Linked DNA regions of Tribolium castaneum. The protein of the gene in region 1 interacts with the protein of each later gene in a biochemical or structural test. Links are inferred from orthologs where the notes say so. Each region holds a gene or a part of one and is shown in the gene's direction. Other genes may lie near its edges.

Region 1 (2,970 bases):
GTTGCGAGTTGAACGACCACGTATTTGAATATTTCATATTTTTATAATGGTATCAATTACGCAACGTTATCGATTCGCCACAGATAAAAAAAAATCTCGTTTCCAACAGTGTTTTAACGTTAATTATCTTGAATGTTGTTTGGTCACGAGCTATGGCAATGGCGCCACATTTACTTCCGCTTTATTACAAAATTTCGGTGCAAGAAAGTAAATACGTTTTTCGGTGAAAATTCAGGTCAGCGATTATTTCCAGCGAAAGTTCAAAGGGTCGACGGATAAGAAGTGCACTTGGCAATAACAAAATCGGGGAAAAATACCGAAAATTGCAGAATTGTTGTTTTTCCTTGAGTGACGTTTCGTGCTGTAATTACCGCAGTTGATGCAAGACTAATTTTCGGTTGAGGAAATTTTCCGGTGACGCTTAATTTATCGATCGAGGGAATATCTGTTTTTGATTAAAAAAAAAAAAACGAAATGCCAGTGTTAAAATATTAAGTGGAAGCGTGGAGAAAGTGTGACTGAATAATGCACGAAGGGATAACGAAAATTACAATTTTAAATTGGTCAAAGGATGAAGTTCACATTTTATCATCGTTATCTGTTGGAACGACTCGTAAATTAGTTGAGACGGTTCAGGTCGTGTTAATCGAGCGCGGAATAAGATTGTGAAACAAGAAATTGAATGAATCATGATTTTGACGCAATAATCGCCAGCAAATCTTGACAGTAATAAAAGCCTAGTCGTGAATTGTTTTGCTTTTTATGAACGAACAAGTTGGAAAAAATCTATGATGAAATTTACTAAAATCTAAAAAAAATATTCGTTGTTGTGGTTTAAATAAAATAAACTGAGCGATTTGAGACAAAATAATTTCTTTGGAATTTTTTTTTTGTAAAGACTACAATGTTTTACGTTTACATGCAAATTCCAGTTAAACTCTGTCATTAACCTTGGTTAAAAGGTAATTATAACAATACGTGTTATTTTTAAACCCACCTTAATGGAATCTCAATTCGAATAAGACACCAGAGAAAGATAAAAAATTCGAGTGAATTATTCAGTAATCTTATCTGTTTTAACTGTTTGGAAAAAAAAAAACGTACTGGACAAATATGAATATAATTTTATTAATTTATGAATCCACGTTTGCGAACCAACTGCGTTTTGTTGTTTCGATGCGTATTGTTTGGTCCGCCGCACAAATAAAAACACAATTAACGCAATAAAGGCGGAAACAGACATGTAGCAAAACAAGTTATTATTGACGTGATTTGATTATTGCGTAGTAATTTCGAAACCGGAAGATTTACAAATCAATTTTTTCATTTTTTTTTCTGTTAGGACGGGATGAATCGGATGGGTGAAGGCGTTTTGAAATTTTATACGCGTCAATGGGAGGAGTATCAGTTCAGTAGCAAGGTTCTGAATGGTATTTGCTCGTATTTGAATCGACATTGGGTGAAGAGAGAATGCGAAGAGGGAAGGAAAGGAATCTACGAAATTTATCAGCTCGCACTGGTGACATGGCGAGATCATCTGTTCAAACAATTAAACAAACAGGTTAGCCACAAATTCGCGCGGAAAACTATCAATATTTATGGGGAAGGGAAAAACGAGGGGTCATCTACGGCTCACTGTACTTTATTTAACTTCTTTTTTTTTTATTTAATTTAGAAGGTGAGAACAGTTTCAAAATTATCCAAAAAGAACCGAAAAGTCGGCTAATTCAGCAGAAGGCGATTTTGATGAAAGCTTTAATAAATTTCAAAAATATATTTATAATCTCGGAGAGTATGAGTAGCTGAAGATCTGGAGCCTTTAGGAAGATTTGACATTTTGAATTTGAAAGATTACACTCCACATGAAGGTCAAAAAAACATTTAAATTTAACCCACTATTGACTCACCCTGTATGTGAATTTTCTCATATTTTTTCTACAATTTCTTAAAATTAATAAATTAATATTAAGGGCTGGTTTGCCTGAATGTTTTTGGTTACAATTTAATGTGAGATCATCCAACTTTTTGGAGGATTTTTTGAGGCTAGCTACAATGTTTTCTACGTAATTTTGACATAAATCAAAATTTGAAATATTTTTTTCAGTCGCTTACGATTAATTAATTTGTTTTGATTGCGTATAAGGAACTTGTAAAAATTTTGAAAAGATTTACTTGCATAGAGAAAAACAGGCATTTAATGTGTGTTTATAATTTTTTGCGATACGGTAAAAATAAACTTATTTTAGCCCACTTACGCTAGCTAATCTGGTATGGAAAAATCCTCAGAAAAATGAAATAAAAAAAATACTTCTGAGGTAATAAATAGAATTATATTAATTTTAAAAGTTTTGTTTTTGCTTTCGTTTTAAATTAGTAAATATTGAGAGTTTGCAAGCCCCTATCCGGGGCTGTCGTTTTTATTTTTCTCCCCCGTTCAAACCAGGTAACAACTGCCGTTCTGAAACTGATCGAACGCGAGCGCAACGGCGAAACAATCAACACTCGTTTAGTCTCTGGCGTGATAAACTGTTACGTGGAATTGGGCCTAAACGAGGAGGAACCAGGGGCCAAAGGACCGAACCTATCGGTGTACAAAGAGAGTTTCGAAAACATGTTTCTGGAAGACACTGAACGCTTCTACCTAAAAGAGAGTAACAACTTCCTAGCACAAAATCCGGTCACTGAATACATGAAAAAGGCCGAACAACGTCTCCTCGAAGAACAGAAACGCGTCCAAGTCTATCTACACGAAACAACAAGCGGCCGTTTAGCCAAAACCTGCGAAAGAGTCCTCATTAAAAAGCACCTCGACATGTTCCATTCGGAGTTCCAGCAGTTGTTGGACGCCGACAAAGACGAGGATTTGGGTCGGATGTACTCGTTGGTAGCGCGGATTCCGGACGGTTTAGGGGAATTACGGACGCTTCTCGAGCAACATATCGCAGCTCAGGGGCTCTCAGCGATTGAAAA
Region 2 (4,110 bases), about 8.6 Mb from region 1:
TTATATTTTGTCTATTTTCGAAATCATGTGGGCAGCTTTATTAAACGAATTTAGCTATAATAGGGCGAAGAATACAACGAATCGTGTAAATAATTTTAGGTGATCACCAATGTCAACATGTTTACCAAAAGCGGTTATTACCGTTTTGGAACTATAAAGTTTATCACGTCTTATCCTGTATTTTTGTAGTTGGACTACGTTACGTTTAGCAACTGTTAAAGCCGAATTGTATATTTTAGGTAACATGAAATGTATTTGTTGACTGCTTAGTTTTATAATGCGGACGAAAGATTTATGTTGAAGTAATAGAATTACGCTTTGTTAAAGTATCATAATTTTGAATTGTTGATATAGGAAGTATGAAATTATGGCGTATAATCAATCTGATGCAATATTTTTGTTGTTGCTGTAATTTCGGTAGCATGTTCTTGTAGTTTTAATTTTATGGACGCTGTGTAGTGTAAAATGGCCCATTATTTTTGTAATTAATTTTCATATTTTAGGGGTTTGTTTGCCACAATAATTGCCTCTTTATGTGATATTTGTTTCCATTTTATAGACACAAATGTGCCTTATCTATTACAATATGAAGAATAAATAAGTTGTAATGAATTACTGTACTTTTCTTTGTCCCAAATGACCCTTTTACATAATTTATTATTGTCGTCCGTATTTACATGATAAACAAGACTCTAGAACAACAACGATAAGGATAATTCTTTGTAAACAAATAAATTCCTTTCAAAATTGAACAGACGAATTTGGCATTTCATGCAGGTATTAATGGGTGGTTTATTTGAAACGTTTGAAAAGCATAAATTGGAAAATAAATTAAAATTTGAAAAATAAAAAAGGGCGTAATTCCAAAACAAAGAAAACAGCTGATCGATAAAGCTGACGACGTAGATAAAAATCAGCTGACATGTCACCAACAACTACTGGCCAAAGTCCCTAGAATCTTGTTCAATTAAAAGCAATTTTCTTAATACCTGAAACATTGTTTTGACCACGATTAACCGAATTGGCATTAAACTGATAGCAACTAAAGTTTATGTATAAATTTTTGATTAAAGAGGACGTTTTTTGGATAATTAGTCGAAAATTCTAGAAAGTGTACTTTGGGTTCGAGATTAAAAAGGAGTGGGGGAAGCCGTCCGTATAAAAGCGGTTCCACAGCTGCATTCGCCATATTGTCTGAGCAAAAGTGGTGAAATACAAAAGCGATTTAATTAAAATTGTGAATTTTCCTAGCCGTAAAGGTATGTATTTTAATTTCATCATGAATTATTCGATTGCAAGAAGCGCAGAAAGTCGCAATTTTGTGAAATTTTTCGCATGACGCAATAACATTTGTTTGAAAAAACATCGCCCTAGTGACGTGTTTTTTTGTTTAAATTTTAACAAAATTAATTTTGTAAATTTGTCGATCTGTTCAAAACCAAACCACATAGTGAGTAATGTGTTTTTTCGGTTTATTCAGTGCGTAATTCTTTGTTCAACGAAATCCAATATGGCGGCTTGGAAATTTGCTTTGTCACAAAAGTAATTTTTTGTGTCGTTGCAGATGCAGATCTTCGTGAAGACTTTGACTGGTAAAACCATCACCTTGGAGGTCGAGCCCTCCGATACCATCGAAAACGTCAAAGCTAAGATCCAGGACAAGGAAGGTATCCCCCCAGACCAGCAACGTTTGATCTTCGCTGGCAAACAACTCGAAGACGGACGCACTTTGTCTGACTACAACATCCAGAAGGAATCGACGCTCCACTTGGTTTTGAGATTGAGGGGCGGTATGCAAATCTTCGTTAAGACACTCACTGGCAAGACCATCACTCTGGAAGTTGAGCCCTCTGATACGATCGAGAACGTCAAAGCCAAGATCCAGGACAAGGAGGGCATCCCTCCAGATCAACAGCGTTTGATTTTCGCTGGTAAACAACTCGAAGACGGACGCACCTTGTCCGATTACAACATCCAGAAGGAATCCACCCTTCACTTGGTTTTGCGTCTGAGGGGAGGCATGCAGATCTTCGTCAAGACCTTGACTGGGAAAACCATTACTTTGGAAGTCGAACCTTCCGACACGATTGAAAACGTCAAGGCTAAGATTCAGGATAAGGAAGGGATCCCACCAGACCAACAAAGATTGATCTTTGCCGGGAAACAACTAGAAGATGGGCGTACCCTCTCAGATTACAACATCCAGAAGGAATCCACCCTTCACTTGGTATTGCGTTTGAGAGGTGGCATGCAAATTTTCGTCAAAACCCTGACTGGCAAGACCATCACCTTGGAGGTCGAACCTTCTGATACCATTGAGAATGTTAAGGCCAAGATCCAAGACAAGGAAGGTATCCCACCAGACCAACAAAGATTGATCTTCGCTGGAAAACAACTTGAAGACGGCCGTACTCTTTCCGACTACAATATCCAAAAAGAATCCACCCTCCACTTGGTGTTGCGTCTCCGAGGTGGCATGCAAATTTTCGTGAAGACTTTGACTGGAAAAACGATCACTCTTGAAGTCGAACCTTCGGACACAATCGAAAACGTGAAGGCGAAAATTCAGGACAAAGAGGGGATTCCCCCAGATCAGCAAAGATTGATTTTCGCCGGCAAACAGTTGGAGGATGGTCGCACACTCTCCGACTACAACATCCAGAAAGAGTCGACCCTCCACTTGGTGTTGCGTCTCCGTGGTGGCATGCAAATCTTCGTAAAGACTTTGACTGGGAAGACGATCACTTTGGAAGTAGAACCATCGGACACTATCGAAAACGTTAAGGCGAAAATTCAGGACAAAGAGGGGATTCCCCCAGATCAGCAGAGGTTGATCTTCGCCGGCAAACAGCTCGAAGATGGCCGAACTCTCTCCGACTACAACATTCAAAAAGAATCAACACTCCACTTAGTATTGCGGCTCCGAGGTGGCATGCAAATTTTCGTTAAAACTCTGACTGGCAAAACCATCACCCTGGAAGTCGAACCTTCTGATACAATTGAGAACGTCAAGGCTAAGATTCAAGACAAAGAGGGTATCCCACCAGACCAACAAAGATTGATCTTTGCTGGAAAACAACTAGAAGACGGCCGTACTCTTTCCGATTACAATATCCAGAAGGAATCCACTCTCCACTTGGTGTTGCGTCTCCGAGGTGGCATGCAAATTTTCGTGAAGACCTTGACGGGAAAGACGATCACTTTGGAAGTAGAACCCTCAGACACAATTGAGAATGTTAAAGCTAAAATCCAGGATAAAGAAGGCATTCCTCCAGATCAGCAGAGGTTGATCTTTGCTGGCAAACAACTCGAAGATGGGCGCACCCTGTCGGACTATAATATTCAAAAAGAATCAACCCTACATTTAGTATTGCGTCTGCGAGGAGGTATGCAAATTTTCGTGAAGACGTTGACTGGGAAAACAATTACGTTGGAAGTTGAGCCATCGGACACGATTGAAAATGTGAAGGCCAAAATTCAAGATAAGGAAGGTATTCCCCCAGACCAGCAAAGATTGATCTTTGCGGGAAAACAGTTGGAAGATGGTCGCACACTTTCGGACTACAATATCCAAAAGGAATCCACTCTTCATCTAGTCTTACGTCTTCGCGGAGGACAGTAATTTTCTGGAATTTCTATGCTTAATATTTTTTTTACTTTTTGTTACAAGTTTCCTGAAATTACGAATAGAGAATAAAGATTGATGGCTTAATTCTTGTGTTTTATTTTAGTACTCCATGTGAATTAATTCAAAAAAATGCTTATCAAAATTTTAAAACATTTGGCTTTACGGGGTTGGTTTGTCTTTGGATTTGGAGCTTAGACGAGATTGTAGGCCCGCGAGAATGTACGCTCACGAGAATTCTCCAAAAATCGCCAACACACAAATTGAAATTAAAAAAAGATTTGAGGTATATTTCCAACAAGGCAACAAATTCTTAAAAAAATAAGTTATTCATATGACTGCACATATTTTGGAGTAATTCGTTAAGCTAAATACAGTGTTAAAAATAAAGACTTCACTTTCATTGATATTCGGAGAAACCGGACTTGGCAGCCGATCGAATTTGACGTTAGGCATAAAAATAAAAAACTTAAAGACAAAAAAAA
Region 3 (3,004 bases), on another chromosome or scaffold:
TGGAGAAAAAAATGGTTAAATACAAAAATTTGAATGTGCTATAGGAGATGTAAGTGAGTAGTAAGTTTTTAATTTATTTGAAGGTTAAATAATCTAGGAAAAAAACTGTTATTCTTTTATGCAAACTCATCGTGATTTACATTTACAATATGCTCCCAAATATTTTTTTACACCTCATAACAGCATGGAGAAAAATATCTACTTTGACTAAGTCTCATTTAATTCGTAATAATTGTTGTGATGGATCATCAAAAATTAAATGTAATGACTGGTGCTTTTTAAAAGGAACTGATGTGATATAATATTATTTGCAGATAATATGCAAGAATAATTGCACAATAATTTTTATTTAACACAATTTTTTTCCTAAAATTAGATATAGGATCAAACAAACAATATTAATAAACGAAAAATACAAGCTTTTTAAATTAATGAATTATTGATTGATAACTAGAAAAGCCATTTCTCTGAAGTCGTCTGTAAAATGGTTACATTACAGACCATATTTATTTGGGTTCAAAATAGTCTCTAGAGTGTCGTACTTTTCAAAGCTCATAAAATGTGATAACTGATGACGTGATGAGTGATGAGACTTTGTGTGAAATGACTGCATTTCCAATTTTTTTTAAGAAACTTGGAAAATTATCAATTCAGAAAAGCACTAAATTTGTTTTTTACACTCAGATGAGTCAGATGGTTATCTCCTCTGCTATCTATCACTTTAGACAACAAACCCCATATTCATGAAAACTCAATTTTAATTTAAATATTACAATATTTTAGGCAAAATGCTAAAATATTTTTTAATTAATAATTTCGTAAAAAAATTAAAATTGCTCAAACCGTCGCGTCGTCTGCGTTGATAGTTGAATGACAATTAACGAAGACGACGCGACGGCTCAAACCCGTGGCCCAAACTTTGCAAAAGTTGCTCTGCGCGTCAAAATGTAGTACCGTATAAAATTTCAATAACGATGCTTTAAAATATTAGGGTTGGATTTATATTAACAAATAAATTAGAAATGTGTACACTTACCTTTGAGTAACTGCAAACATTCGTTTCAATGTTCATCTGTGGTCTGGTGGTCAACAAACTAATACACAAACTAAAAACACAATAACGAACAGTTCTAAAACGCTCCTAAACCGAAATAATTCGTTTCACAGAATAATTTTACGAATTTCAACAACTCAAGACGCGAAAAATCCGCAGAGGATGACAAACGCACCAGTAGTACCAATGTAATAACAACGGCACGAAATAAATTAATTTAAATAGCTTTGAACATAGTCTTCTGATGGTCTGCTTTATTGATTTGGATCTTTTGATTAAGTGCTTTGCAGAAAAATTCTTAGCATTAGCAATAAATGAATTTTTTAAATTTTTTCATTAAGAATTCGTTCCGATGGTAAAGTAAATTCCTGCATGTCCCATTGACAGTTTTGACATTGACAGATGTGTGAAAAATTCTCTTGCAAAAAGCAATCGAATAAACTCGACTTTCCCATGTTTTTGTAAAGTGTGCTCGCAGTAAATTACATTGCTCTGACCCCTCACCACCCCTGCGCCAGCCAAATATGATAAAACTATTCTCGCTGAAGCAACAGAAAAAAGATGGAGAAGCCTCACCGCGACCAGGAAATCAAAAGAAAGCCTCTGCAGCCCAGTTGAGGATTACGAAAGGTTGGTTGTGAGTCATTGCGCCCCCATTTTGACCCTCCCTTTGCAGATATCAACGAGCTGAACCTGCCCAAGACCTGCACGACGGAGTTTCCCGATCCGGACGACTTGCTGTCTTTCAAACTGGTGATTTGTCCGGATGAGGTTAGTTGTGGATTAGTGTGTGGGGTTGTGGTTAATTGGGGGGACGTTTAGGGTTTCTACAAGACAGGGAGGTTCGTATTCAGTTTCAAAGTGGGCCCCAATTACCCGCATGAGCCCCCCAAAGTCAAATGCGAGACACAGGTCTACCACCCCAACATCGACCAACAGGGCAACGTGTGCTTGAACATTTTAAGGGAGGATTGGAAGCCCGTACTGACTATCAACAGTATCGTCTATGGACTGCAGTATTTGTTCCTTGAACCCAATCCAGAGGATCCTTTGAACAAGGAAGCGGCTGAAGTGCTCACGACCAACAGGCGGCTGTTTGAGCAGAACGTCCAGAAGGCGATGCGTGGAGGGTATGTTGGCAGTACTTATTTCGACCGCTGTCTCAAGTGATTCTTATGTGTAAAGAACTTATTTATAAGTTTACTGTTTTATGCTCGTTGACGAGGACACTCGAGTGATTCTTGCATACCTAATTACTAATTTCGTTTATTAAAGCTACCACTATGTTGTTTTATTTGGCTTTTTCATCTCAATCGTTCTATTGTGATCATCATATCTCACTCCAGCGTAAAGCACCACAAAGCGGTGTGTTGTAATTTCTCCTCAGTGAAATGTAACTGATTTAATTAAGAAAATAGATAATTTTTCATAATAAAAATCTACAAAAATTCGAAGCAATTCTTTATTAAAATGCAATAACTTAACACCTTTCAGTATATTATAGAAATAATGTAATTTACTACATTGTCTTTCCCTAAAGAAGAAAACAAATGAGACAAAAGAGACACAGTCGAAAAATAATTACAATTACACGGAAAATAAACTTCCATTTAAATCTATATTAGGTAAATTTAAATCGTTTACATCCGTTTTTTTTTTGTTTAATAAAAAGGCACTTAATAAAAATTAAAAAAGATTAAATTACCAACTGTACATCATTTCACTGGTCTTAACAGTCAATTTTACATTCAGTCACAAAAATTTTACACACCACGTCACATATATTCATGACGGTTTTGGAGCGCCAAACTTAAAAGTTGTGGGTACTTCATGTTGTGTAAACATAAAACCTGGACAAACAAAATTAATTTGTTATTCCCCCAACACTATCATATAATTTTACCTCCCGATTGTTCAATTCTTTTACTTTCTTTGGCTGCTTTCCTCTGA
Region 4 (4,054 bases), on another chromosome or scaffold:
TTGCTTTCCTGTAGATAACGCTAATTCTTTTCCATACCTTACCTGCCTCAGCACCATTAACAGTGCCATAATTTTAGGCTGTCCGGAAAATTTATTTTTACACAAGGGTCGATGTATCAAAAGTTGTCCTGACGGCTTTTACCATTTGACGCTTAGGCGCGAGAGGCCTTCGGAGGCCGAAGATTTATCTCCGGAAAATAACACCAATCGGTGCTTACCATGCCATTACACTTGTAAGAAGTGCACAGGCCCGGTGGACTACCAGTGTTCCGAGTGTTTCCCAGATGCCCAACTGGTGCCGGTTTCCAGCACCGAAACTTTTTGTTACTCCGCATCTGTGGCCTCTTCAATAGTAGCAGATAAATGGTATATAAGGGTATTTGTTATGTTACTTATAGTTAGCGTTTTATTAGTATTGCATTTATTGTGGCAAATTTTTAAATCAAGGAAACGGCCCCGCGGAGGGTACTTGCGTTTTAATCTGATAAACAATAGTGATGAAAAAGATGTAAAAATGGCTGTTTATAGTGATAGCGAATAATATTTTAAACTTTGATGTGACTTTACTCCTACTGTAAATAGAAGAATTGTTATTTTTTGAGTATTAAAGCCAATAAAGTATTATAAAGCTTTCGTAACTTTTATTTTCCCCTCAGTTCATCCTAAATGGAATTACAAAAAGTAAAAAACTTAGTTTTGTAAATAATTGATTATGCGATAAGTTCAGACTACGACACCCCGGGGAGTATGCAACCAATAAAACACGAATTTTTATTAAAAAGGCAAACGGTAAATTTATTTGGCATTTCTGCGTTTATTTAATAAAAAAATAGTTATATGTTGTGTTAACAATGACACAAAGACAGAAACGTTTTTGTTTTAATTAGTTTTAATCTGTTTTACATCTCTACAGTTCGACTACACTGAGTGACACGTGTCTTTTTAATGATAGAAATTCTTGCCAATGTTTTTACGTAAAACTAATTGAAACACTAAATCATAAATAATTCCTGTAATTTTTGCAATCCAATGACACTAACCACTGTAAAAATTTGTATAAATTTTATTTATTTATTTTCAAGCATTAAAAAAAACGTGTGACCTAGCATAGGTCCTCTTTATAATTCTAAATAATTATTATGAGGAAATTTTGCTACCTGACATTGCAATAAATATTTTTATAATTATTAAAGAGTAGTTTAGAAAGTACAGTGGTATTACTAAACGCAAATCCGAGAACGGCCGAGCAGTGCCGACGAGCCGATCATCCTGAGGGAACCATCGCGCAACCCCGTGTTAGCTGTCTTAAATCTCAATTCATCTAGTGCATTAGAGTGTGAAATTGAATAAAAACTGTTGTTTTGTCAAGGTAAGGCCCTAACAAACCTTCTTTTAGTATAGTTCCATCCTGAAACTTGACCAAGTTCATTAAAACTTGCAAAATTCATCCCCTTCCCCGGCGTCCCTATTGTAGTGTCGCAAATCGGGGTAAAAAGACCAAAAAAATTTATAAAACGACAACAACATAGTGTATTTGAGGCCTTTAGTTGAGTTTTTCATATTTTTTGAGTTTTCCGTTGTTCCAAATTCGAATTTCGACCCCTTAGCAACAACAACCGTTTTTCCAAGAACTTTTCCTTTGTTTCAAAATGGCGAGCTTTGGTGACGTGGCCAGAACTCTGAACTAGTTAGAACTATTGTGAGCTTTTGAGTAAAAACGACTGGTTTATTTAGGTAAGTTCTCAAAAAATCGTCAAATGGCGTAATATATTTTCGAAATTGTTTGCACTTCTCAAAATTTCCAAACCTAACCACTATCTCAAAATCGGGTAAAAACCCGAGTGGTTAGAAAATGAGAAAGCCACATTGTGCCATAAAATTTCTTCCAGATTGAGTATCCAAACAAAATTATTTTGCCTTTTTTGGAATTTCCACCCTTTTGGTTATTAATTTAAATCGCAATAAATGTTTGACATTGAATCAAATTGAAGGTCAAATGATGTTAATACAAAAACTTGACAGTCAAAGCCCATTTTGGGGTCAAATTTCTTAGCGTCCATTTCATAGCATCCAATTGCATTTGTTTAAATTCATGCAAATGATGAATAAAGTGTTGTTGTTACATATAACCAGTTTGATAATTAAAAATAAAACGAGATTTCGCCCAAACATTTAGTTGTTAAAGTCTCAAAGAAAACTAAAACATTTTTTAATGGCATTTGATTTGTTTTAATGACGAAAATTAATTGAACAGTTACAAAACTGCCACAAGTAATAAAAAAGTCGGTTGGTTGATTCCATATTTTATCGAAAATTTCCATTTTGTGTCACAATTCGGTGATAATGCTTTCCAAATGGCAGGTTTTGGATTACGTGAGCCAACCTGAGCTTGGGATCCCCCGCACAGAGGTGAAGAAATCCGACTGTAAAGGTAAGCCACGAAATTTTTTGACACTACTAACTTCGCAACAAATCAAGACTTTTGTCGATTTCGGTAGATTTCTAAAGTGGCAACAAATGACGAACTTACACACGATATGATTTAGCTTTATTTCCTTTTAGCAAAACGATAAATTTTGGATTTAAACGGTGTGTGCTTGATCATACAAAATGGCCGAAGAACAACAACAGGGTGATGAAAGTAACCCTTACGAGCAAGGTGATCATGCTTTTGAGCTAGATGATCTTGAACGTGCTTTGGTAACATGCGAGTAAGTATTCACGGGTTTGAATTTGGCGCTAGATTCTATGAATGCGCACGCGTAGTACGGTCCCACCTAATTGTATTTTTATGTCTTTCCGGTACACACGAAGTGACGATAATAGGTGTTTTCGGCTTATTCAAAATCTTGTGTGTTTAGTTTATTCCAAAATTCCACAATTTTGAAATATTGGAAGGTTCCCAACCGCACGCCTATGGCGCCGCTTTGGAGTGTAGTGGGGATTTAATTTGTTATTAAAATATCGGAATTTACTATATGATTTGAAAAATATCAATTACTGTACAAAATAACGCGTAAATGGGTGCAAATTTTTGTCAAATCACTTTAGCCGGTATTACAATAAATCGCAGTTGGTACTCCGGTGTCTGAGGTTGTCATTATTATTGTGGTGGATTGATATAAGCTAGTGAATAATAAAAATTTCCAAATTTTCATTATTAGTGATATTATAAGTGTAATTATTGTGATTTACTTACTTTGTTAGTGATAGCTGTATTTCATGTCTAATTTGTACATGCAGAACGACACACATAGTAAATTATTTACAATTTTCGTACTCTAACCTAAAAGAACTAGATGAAATGCTCATATAAATTCAGTCTTACAATAAAAAACTGTTTTATTTAACATCAATTTGCTTAAAGACTTCGCAGTTACGTTGATCAAGTAGTAGAAGACGCTGCAGAGATGGCTAGTGTCTCTTACCAGATTGCCAATCTTCTTGAGAAGGTTAGTAAAATCGTATTACACAGTATTCGGTCAGCAATTCGAGTAAAAAATCATTTCAGATGCAATCATCTGACAAAGATTTTCGATTTATGGCCACAAACGATTTAATGGCCGAACTGCAGAAAGATAGTATCAAATTAGATGATGATTCGGAACGAAAGGTTGTAAGAATGTTGTTGAAACTACTTGAAGATAAAAACGGTGAAGTACAAAACTTGGCTGTCAAATGGTAGGTCAGTCATATCACACTTCACTTGTCTCACTCGTAATTTCTAGTCTGGGGCCTTTAGTTAACAAAGTTAAGGAATTCCAAGTGGAGACCATTGTTGAGGCCTTGTGCACCAACATGGTCTCCGACAAGGAGCAACTGCGGGATATTTCCAGCATTGGGCTCAAGACGGTTATCGCTGAACTGCCACAGGCACCTGGGGGCCTCTCCGGAAACATTTGCAAGCGGATCACCGGTCGTTTGACGACTGCTATCGAAAGGGTACGTTTGTCAACGTTGTAGCAAAAATCAACGAAACTTTGCAGCAAGACGACGTGTCCGTGCAACTGGAAGCTCTCGACATTGTCACGGATTTGTTATACCGCTTTGGCAA
Region 5 (2,421 bases), on another chromosome or scaffold:
TTTAGACACCTAGAAAATGACTAAGGTGTTTGTTACTTTCTCGTCTCTTTCGTTTTAGCGTCCTAAATTTTTGGATACTGACTGTACAGAGTGTCCCAGCTAGGTGGAAAAGTTCAGTATTGACTTTTTTGGACGTAGCTTTTAATACTGATGACTTTAATTTAAACTTGCTTGGTTTTTGAAATATTTTTTGACGAAAACACACTTTTTTAGTAGAGTATAATACTTTTGTTAAATTTATAAAGGAAGCTGTGTTAAAATTTAATTCGCTGTTAAAATGGTCCAACCAAATTGCTTAAATTTGGTCACGTGATCAGTTAATCACTCATTTAATTGCGGATTAAATTAATCACGCTTCCCTAAGGGAGGTTTATAGAAAGCTTCATTAAATTTTAATTCGTTGTTAAAAGTTTAGATTAATCAGAAGAGACACTTAACTGGTTATGTTTTTACAGTTTTTTTTTGGTCACAACAAAATAAAGTTTTGCTTTGAAAAATTATTTTTGCTGATGTTTTCGTTTTGCGATTTCGATTAATCGGCGAGTTCGCTTTTATTCTTCCAATTTTCACGTCAATTTAGCAAGTTAATATGCTCAGAAGGATCAAAACAACTTTCTCTAAAAATGTGCGAATAATTGGAATCGTAATTATTGATTTTTTTACTGCAAAACATTTAGCGGAAACGTTAGTGTATCAAGTCGTTACACGACTTTGATTTTGTAAAGCAAAGTCGTAAATACACAAGTTGATTTCTAATAACGGTAATTTTATTAAATTGACACCTTCGAGTGTTTAGTTGTGTTGCATTCTTTAGCCGAGAAAAATGAGACACTTAACGAGGTGAGTCCGATAAATAAGCGCCGATTTTGTAAAAAACTGTACGGTTTTATGCTCTTTTACGAGCGGACGGAACGTCATGTAATCAAATTTTTTCGATTTTTCAATTTCAAAATGAAAACTCGCGGGCATTGCAAAAACGAAACACCAACATGAGACCACCAAATGCCCCAACTCGACTACGAGTTTAAACGATTTTTAAATTGATTTCGTCCAGTATTTTGCAATAAACAGGCACTTGTAGTAAAAAGACGATCAAATTACATAATAATTGGGCACATTTTAGTCATAATTTTGCCAAAGTCCAATTGGCAATTCGCCGGTTGATTGGCACGCCTGGGTAAACAACTAACATAACCCCACTTTAGTCAAAAATCTAAATTTTAAGTGTAATAAAATGAGCAAAGACCCGATTGTGCTAAGTTACGACGAGAGTCTTTTGCGCAAATCGGACGTGGAGCTCCTCCAAGGGCCCCACTGGCTCAACGACAACATAATTTCCTTCTACTTCGAGTACTTGAAGAACACGTTCAAACAAGCCCCCCATATTTTATTCGTGCCCCCTGAGGTGACCCAGTGTGTGAAAATAACCCCCAGTTCCCAAATCGGCATCTTCCTGGACCCGCTCGATGCGCGGCACAGACGTTTTATTTTTTTTGCCTTGAATGATAACGAGAGGCCCCAAGCGGCGGGGGGCACACATTGGAGTTTGCTGCTGTTTTCACGGTAGTGCGTGAGAGTTTGTTGAAAAAAAGGGTGATAATGTGTGTTTTAGGCCCGATAAGACCATTTATCACTATGATTCTTCCAGAGGGATGAATCGGGAGCAGGGTGAGAATTTCGGGCGTAAGATTTTTAGTTATTTCGGGATCGAGGGGCAGTTTAAGGAGGAGAGGGCGCTGCAGCAGAACAATGGGTATGACTGTGGGATTTACGTGATTTGTAATACGGAACATTTGGCCAGACATTTAATTTCGTATAATTGTGTTGAGGGGTATGGCTCTAACGAGGATTTGGTGAATAGTGTGGGGTCGATGCGCAACCAAATTTACAATGTCATCGAGCAATTAAAAAGCTAGTCGAACTAGAGTTTTATTTTTTCCGAGACAAATTTTTTATCCGAACGTACTGAAATTTTGCATACATACGTAATCTTGTGATAATGCAGTTCTATTTGTTTTAATTTCAAAACTCGTTATGAATTTTTAGTAAAATTAAGAAAAAATGTGCTGAATGAATCAAAAACTGTGATTAGACTCTTAAAACAGGCAAAAAGTGTGCCTTTGTCGTCATAATTCAGCGATTTTTCGTGTTATTTTTGGCAAGATTTGGTGAATCTATGTATGGGGACCAAAAAAAGCCAGTGAAACAGGAGAGAGATTTTATTATAAAATTCAACATTGAGTTATAAAAATAATCTCATTGTAAATAGTACAAATGATTAAAATAGAACGTGATACAGACACATCAACCGTGTAAACATTTATAAAATATAGGTAGTTCTATAAAAGGGTTGGTACTTTGAGCTTGGCTCTCTCAGTCCGAATACTGTGCTATCACTAAGGCATTTAAGCGTCCACTTCA
Region 6 (4,179 bases), on another chromosome or scaffold:
CGCCTTCTGTGCCCACAACAACGTAATTCGTGTTGTGTTGGTTGCATGCAACGCTGGTTAGAGAGCAAAACTCGTTGTTGTACAAAACTGAAAAATAAATATTTTTCGATAAAAATTTAGCTCAAAAACATCAGTATTAAAAGCTACATCCATTACAAAAAAAAACAATTTCCTATTGTAGCTAACTTTGGACACTTGTATACTTGAAAATAATGTTTACATCTTCACTTTGCTCCCGTGAAATATACATGATTTTTTCGCCTCACTGGACGAAAAAATAATTACCTGAGGCAGGGCACGGATTACGGTCGTCCCAAATACAGCACTTCCGGTCCATTGAAGCTGTGACAAAGACGTTTGGTTCCGACTTAAGTGTATCAACATAGTTTACAAGTTCCGTGTGATAATCGCTGGAAATAAAACTTAGATAAGGGAAAATTGTTGATAAAACTTACGGAAAGTGATTTAGTGGTTTACGGATAGTGCTATTAATGTCCCAAATGGTCACCGCTTTATTCGAGCAGGTGAGTATCCGTGTGCTGTTCTTCCAAACTGCGATTTTCGGAATGCGATCTATTTCCCTATAATAACCTGCCGATTGTATGGTTTGGTTTTCACGTGATATTGTGAGAATATTTAAAAGACCCGTATCTTCAGCTAACGCAAACTATTTTCATATTATTTGTTGTGTGTACACATTTAGCTGAAACTTACAGTACTGTCGTTTAAAAATTTCCCGTCTGAAACCGTGGACCCAATCAAGCTTCTGTTGTGTTTCAGAAGCAACAAATTCTCCTCATTTGAGAAAAATAGCAAAGTGCCTTCCCAAAGAGTCCCGTTTAAGTTCGAACACCCCAGAACTGACTCGTCTAAAAGACAATTAATCGCCAAAATTGAAAAAAACCCACCTTACCTTTTTCATTAAATTCTAGGAAAAGTAAGTGTTTGTAAACGACCGGTGTTGTCGAAAGTTCGACTTTCCGTTGCAGCGATTTATTCGGTGGATAAACCACCGTATTTAATTCGTTTTCAATCATTTTAACACAAATTCAAAAAAGAGTTCGAGGTTAAGTTTTGGTGCAAAAAAGCCACTAAAATCACATGTGCGCCGTTAAATTCCCCCAGCTTGTCACCTTGCTACTCCTGTAACTAAAGTCACGAAATCGTAGCGTAAATTCTCGAAATACAATGCAATGGTGTTGGGGAAAAACACAAAACGGATTTTCCTGCAATTGGTGAGTGTTTTCCAAAAGTTTGGGGTCCTGGATGTTTTTTTGGGCGAATGGTTTGTGGAGTCAGGGTGTTTGTGAAACGGGGCGGCGCCTTAGCCACGCGATTTTGCTGATATTTCTTATTCTTCATTTACACAAGTTCGTCCAGATATTTGTAATGGTGCCAATAAATCCTAGTATTTTGAGAATGGCCGTCAGTGTAGTTTTTTGAAAAGGTATTTTACCCAGCGAGATGCACAAGAAAACTCGCTTTAGTGTCTCGGAGTGATAGGAAGTAGCAAACAGTGGTCCTTGATGCATAGTTTTTGGAAGCATTTCGTTAATTTTCCTTCTTCTCTTGCAATTATCTGGTAGTTAGAGTAGTTTCGTTTCATGCCTTCGAATAATGATAGAAAATTACATCAGTAGGTATGTCAGATGCAATTATTCTAACCATTTTTCCCCCATTGCACTCATCTTGTAATTAAGTAGGATAACGTGTTTCACTCGCGGAGATAATTTTATCGCAAAACTTTACTTAAGACGTTTTTTGTTTTTTCTAGACTGTAGATAATGGCAGAATCATGTCCTTCAGGCAGAAGTAATTTCAACCCCTTATCTAGTATTAATCGAGATTCAGAACTTCCAAAACAAGACTGCACCAGCCCTAGCCCTACTGAAACCGTTTGTCTAGAGTCGTTGTGTACCACTGATAATGCACCAGGTACATCCCAGAATCACTTAGCTCCATTGAGTGAAAAACTAGATGAGATATTTAGAATTAGTCAATCGGGCGAGGAGACTGAAAAAACTAGCTTTCTCAATAAGCTAGGTCTGGAAGAATGTGATGAAGAAGACAGTTTTGAGAAGGAAGAAAACTGGGAGGATTGTACTGAAGGAGACCTCTCTGAAGAAAATCAAGAGCTAGAAGAGGTAACTCCATACAGTGTGTTAACTTTTTACTAAATTATTTTTACAGGACGAAGATAGCAGTGAAGTTTTTTCAGGTTCACCTCCAGGTCCTCATCAAACAACACCAAGGAGTTCGTACGCGAAGAGAAGTGGGTCGTACGCCACTGACAGATACTGGGTAAGCAGAAATTATGTTTGTTGTTTCAAGCGAATGTGCAATAATATTATTTTAAAAATAAACCCATTGACTGTTTCCATCACTGGATAATGCATTTTCTGCAAATGGTTAGCACAAGGCAAACAAAAAATTACAGGCAGAGATAATTTATATTAATTTTGCTTTTTTCTTATTCACTGATAACTAAAATATATGTCACATTTGTCTAACACGTGTAGTTTTCTTAATATATTCACTAAAAGTTTTAAAAATTTGTTTCTGGTGGCATTCATTGTTTCTGTGATCAACTATTGTTAAACCTTGTAATTATTTTAAAATATCTTCAAGTGAATGTAGATTAAGTCCAAACAACTTTTGTTTTGTTTGTGGTAAAATTGTCTATAAAATCTGGGAGACTTAAACGATCAAATGGTAAATATTTTCATCAAATCTTATGAAGAGAGTTATTAAGGTTTTTGGGATAAAAATATGTTATTCGTTTTCTACTAGTCCACATTGAGATAAACACCCTGATAGTACAAGAGAAGAAGCAATCTGTAACATTTTAGATGTTGCGAAAATTGTCAAATACTGATACTTTATAATGAGTATTTAAACTTAATTTGTTTTCGACTTCAGCATCAGATTTAGTGGTAATTATTCTACTGACATTGGTAAAAATCGTGGTAAACTAGTGTAATTATCTGCAATTTTTTGTAAACAAATCAGTGACACATTTTATTACGCCACTGCTCAGGTGGTACTTAATCTTTGCAATACCTGTTGTATTAAATAATTTCTCAATACTAGTTTTTGTTTAATTTTTTTTAACAAAATGTGACTAATAATAAATAATATTACTCTCATAAGTAAAGTTGTGACCATTTTTGGTTGTTGTTTTGACAATTTAAAAAGAAAATAATTAAAAAATACGAGTTGGTCTTGACTATTTGGTCGAAAATGTAATTTAAAGGAATTTGGTTTTAATGAACGCTTACCTTATCTATGTATAATACGAGTTTAAAAACAATCGTCACAGTTTTAATTATGTATTTAATCTTTATATAACTTTTAGATAAAATAACAAAACGAATAATTAAGGGGCATTGGGGAAAAATCGATAAGTAATACGCGAATAAGTCACGTTTACGTAGTAGTGCATTAAAGTTATTGCTCGTTTTTTAAACATTCCCATGGTCAATGAAGGTCTTTAACCTGTTTGGGACTTTGCTGTTTTTAACTATTTAGTTTACTTGTTGTTTTTGTATTGGTAAACACGAGTTGGGCGATAACGTAAATTAAAGATAGACATAAAAGGTAATAATTTTGATCCTTTTTGAAATTATCGTTGTATAATACAAACTAACAATTTTCATAGTTATTTATTATGCCTGTAGATTTTTTTTTAAATTGTTGAAAAAATGTTTGTTACCTTTGACAACCTCTAATTCTGTGTTTAGTAAACAATGTTACTCAAATATCTATGATAATAAAGCAATTTCCACATAATCACATGCATTAGAATACAGTGTAGTAATAATTAACTGCATGTCATAAAAAACTTATCAGGTTAATTTTGCTTTTTAACGCTAGTTTTTCCGGTTTAAGATGTTACATTATTTTCACCTTAATGGTGTTTATGTATTAATCGCAAATGTAAAGAGCTTAACAAAAATAAAACAGTCGTACTTCTTTTTTTTTAATGATGAAACTTGTAAGTGTTGAGTCGATAACATAATACGTTGATCGACATATGATTTTAGCCTAATCTTCTCTCTGATATTTTTTGAAACGAATATTTTGTGCTGTTTTGTTAGCAGTTGTAATGTGTTTTGTTCGGTTTTTTTAGAGAAAACGGAAGTTGGACGTGCAGAATGGGTTTCCGTGCAAGAAGTTGCT

What was found.
Region 2: the proteins of Cul1 (region 1) and Ubi-p63E form a complex in vitro, tested with the Homo sapiens proteins (2 studies listed by BioGRID, with this or other methods). The link is inferred for Tribolium castaneum from reciprocal best matches to the Homo sapiens genes CUL1 and UBC.
Region 3: of the proteins of Cul1 (region 1) and UbcE2M, one has a biochemical effect on the other in vitro, tested with the Homo sapiens proteins (7 studies listed by BioGRID). The link is inferred for Tribolium castaneum from reciprocal best matches to the Homo sapiens genes CUL1 and UBE2M.
Region 4: the proteins of Cul1 (region 1) and Cand1 form a complex in vitro, tested with the Homo sapiens proteins (6 studies listed by BioGRID and IntAct). The link is inferred for Tribolium castaneum from reciprocal best matches to the Homo sapiens genes CUL1 and CAND1.
Region 5: of the proteins of Cul1 (region 1) and Den1, one has a biochemical effect on the other in vitro, tested with the Homo sapiens proteins (2 studies listed by BioGRID). The link is inferred for Tribolium castaneum from reciprocal best matches to the Homo sapiens genes CUL1 and SENP8.
Region 6: the proteins of Cul1 (region 1) and ago form a complex in vitro, tested with the Homo sapiens proteins (3 studies listed by BioGRID). The link is inferred for Tribolium castaneum from reciprocal best matches to the Homo sapiens genes CUL1 and FBXW7.

The regions. Positions count from the first base shown.
Region 1 is NC_087396.1:22,572,739-22,575,708, reverse strand, and holds part of Cul1 (cullin-1), read left to right. Parts: intron 1-1,342; coding exon 1,343-1,561; intron 1,562-2,443; coding exon 2,444-2,970. UniProt on the Homo sapiens protein: Core component of multiple cullin-RING-based SCF (SKP1-CUL1-F-box protein) E3 ubiquitin-protein ligase complexes, which mediate the ubiquitination of proteins involved in cell cycle progression, signal transduction and transcription.
Region 2 is NC_087396.1:13,942,997-13,947,106, forward strand, and holds Ubi-p63E (polyubiquitin), read left to right. Parts: upstream 1-1,310; 5' UTR 1,311-1,450; intron 1,451-1,564; coding exon 1,565-3,622; 3' UTR 3,623-3,712; downstream 3,713-4,110.
Region 3 is NC_087394.1:37,270,882-37,273,885, reverse strand, and holds UbcE2M (NEDD8-conjugating enzyme Ubc12), read left to right. Parts: upstream 1-1,406; 5' UTR 1,407-1,578; coding exon 1,579-1,684; intron 1,685-1,730; coding exon 1,731-1,825; intron 1,826-1,876; coding exon 1,877-2,224; 3' UTR 2,225-2,504; downstream 2,505-3,004. Other genes in the region: msk (importin-7), read right to left, coding at 2,840-2,904, 2,958-3,004.
Region 4 is NC_087403.1:5,733,007-5,737,060, reverse strand, and holds the start of Cand1 (cullin-associated NEDD8-dissociated protein 1), read left to right. Parts: upstream 1-1,254; 5' UTR 1,255-1,369; intron 1,370-2,361; 5' UTR 2,362-2,431; intron 2,432-2,562; 5' UTR 2,563-2,610; coding exon 2,611-2,711; intron 2,712-3,367; coding exon 3,368-3,452; intron 3,453-3,511; coding exon 3,512-3,681; intron 3,682-3,728; coding exon 3,729-3,942; intron 3,943-3,986; coding exon 3,987-4,054. UniProt on the Homo sapiens protein: Key assembly factor of SCF (SKP1-CUL1-F-box protein) E3 ubiquitin ligase complexes that promotes the exchange of the substrate-recognition F-box subunit in SCF complexes, thereby playing a key role in the cellular repertoire of SCF complexes.
Region 5 is NC_087399.1:1,312,927-1,315,347, forward strand, and holds Den1 (sentrin-specific protease 8), read left to right. Parts: upstream 1-1,130; 5' UTR 1,131-1,234; coding exon 1,235-1,563; intron 1,564-1,612; coding exon 1,613-1,916; 3' UTR 1,917-1,921; downstream 1,922-2,421. Other genes in the region: fatty-acid amide hydrolase 2, read right to left, coding at 2,406-2,421. UniProt on the Homo sapiens protein: Protease that catalyzes two essential functions in the NEDD8 pathway: processing of full-length NEDD8 to its mature form and deconjugation of NEDD8 from targeted proteins such as cullins or p53.
Region 6 is NC_087394.1:36,180,099-36,184,277, reverse strand, and holds the start of ago (archipelago), read left to right. Parts: upstream 1-1,379; 5' UTR 1,380-1,640; intron 1,641-1,774; 5' UTR 1,775-1,784; coding exon 1,785-2,144; intron 2,145-2,190; coding exon 2,191-2,301; intron 2,302-4,129; coding exon 4,130-4,179. Other genes in the region: uncharacterized protein LOC655874, read right to left, coding at 1-87, 286-410, 456-667, 715-869, 914-1,037. UniProt on the Homo sapiens protein: Substrate recognition component of a SCF (SKP1-CUL1-F-box protein) E3 ubiquitin-protein ligase complex which mediates the ubiquitination and subsequent proteasomal degradation of target proteins.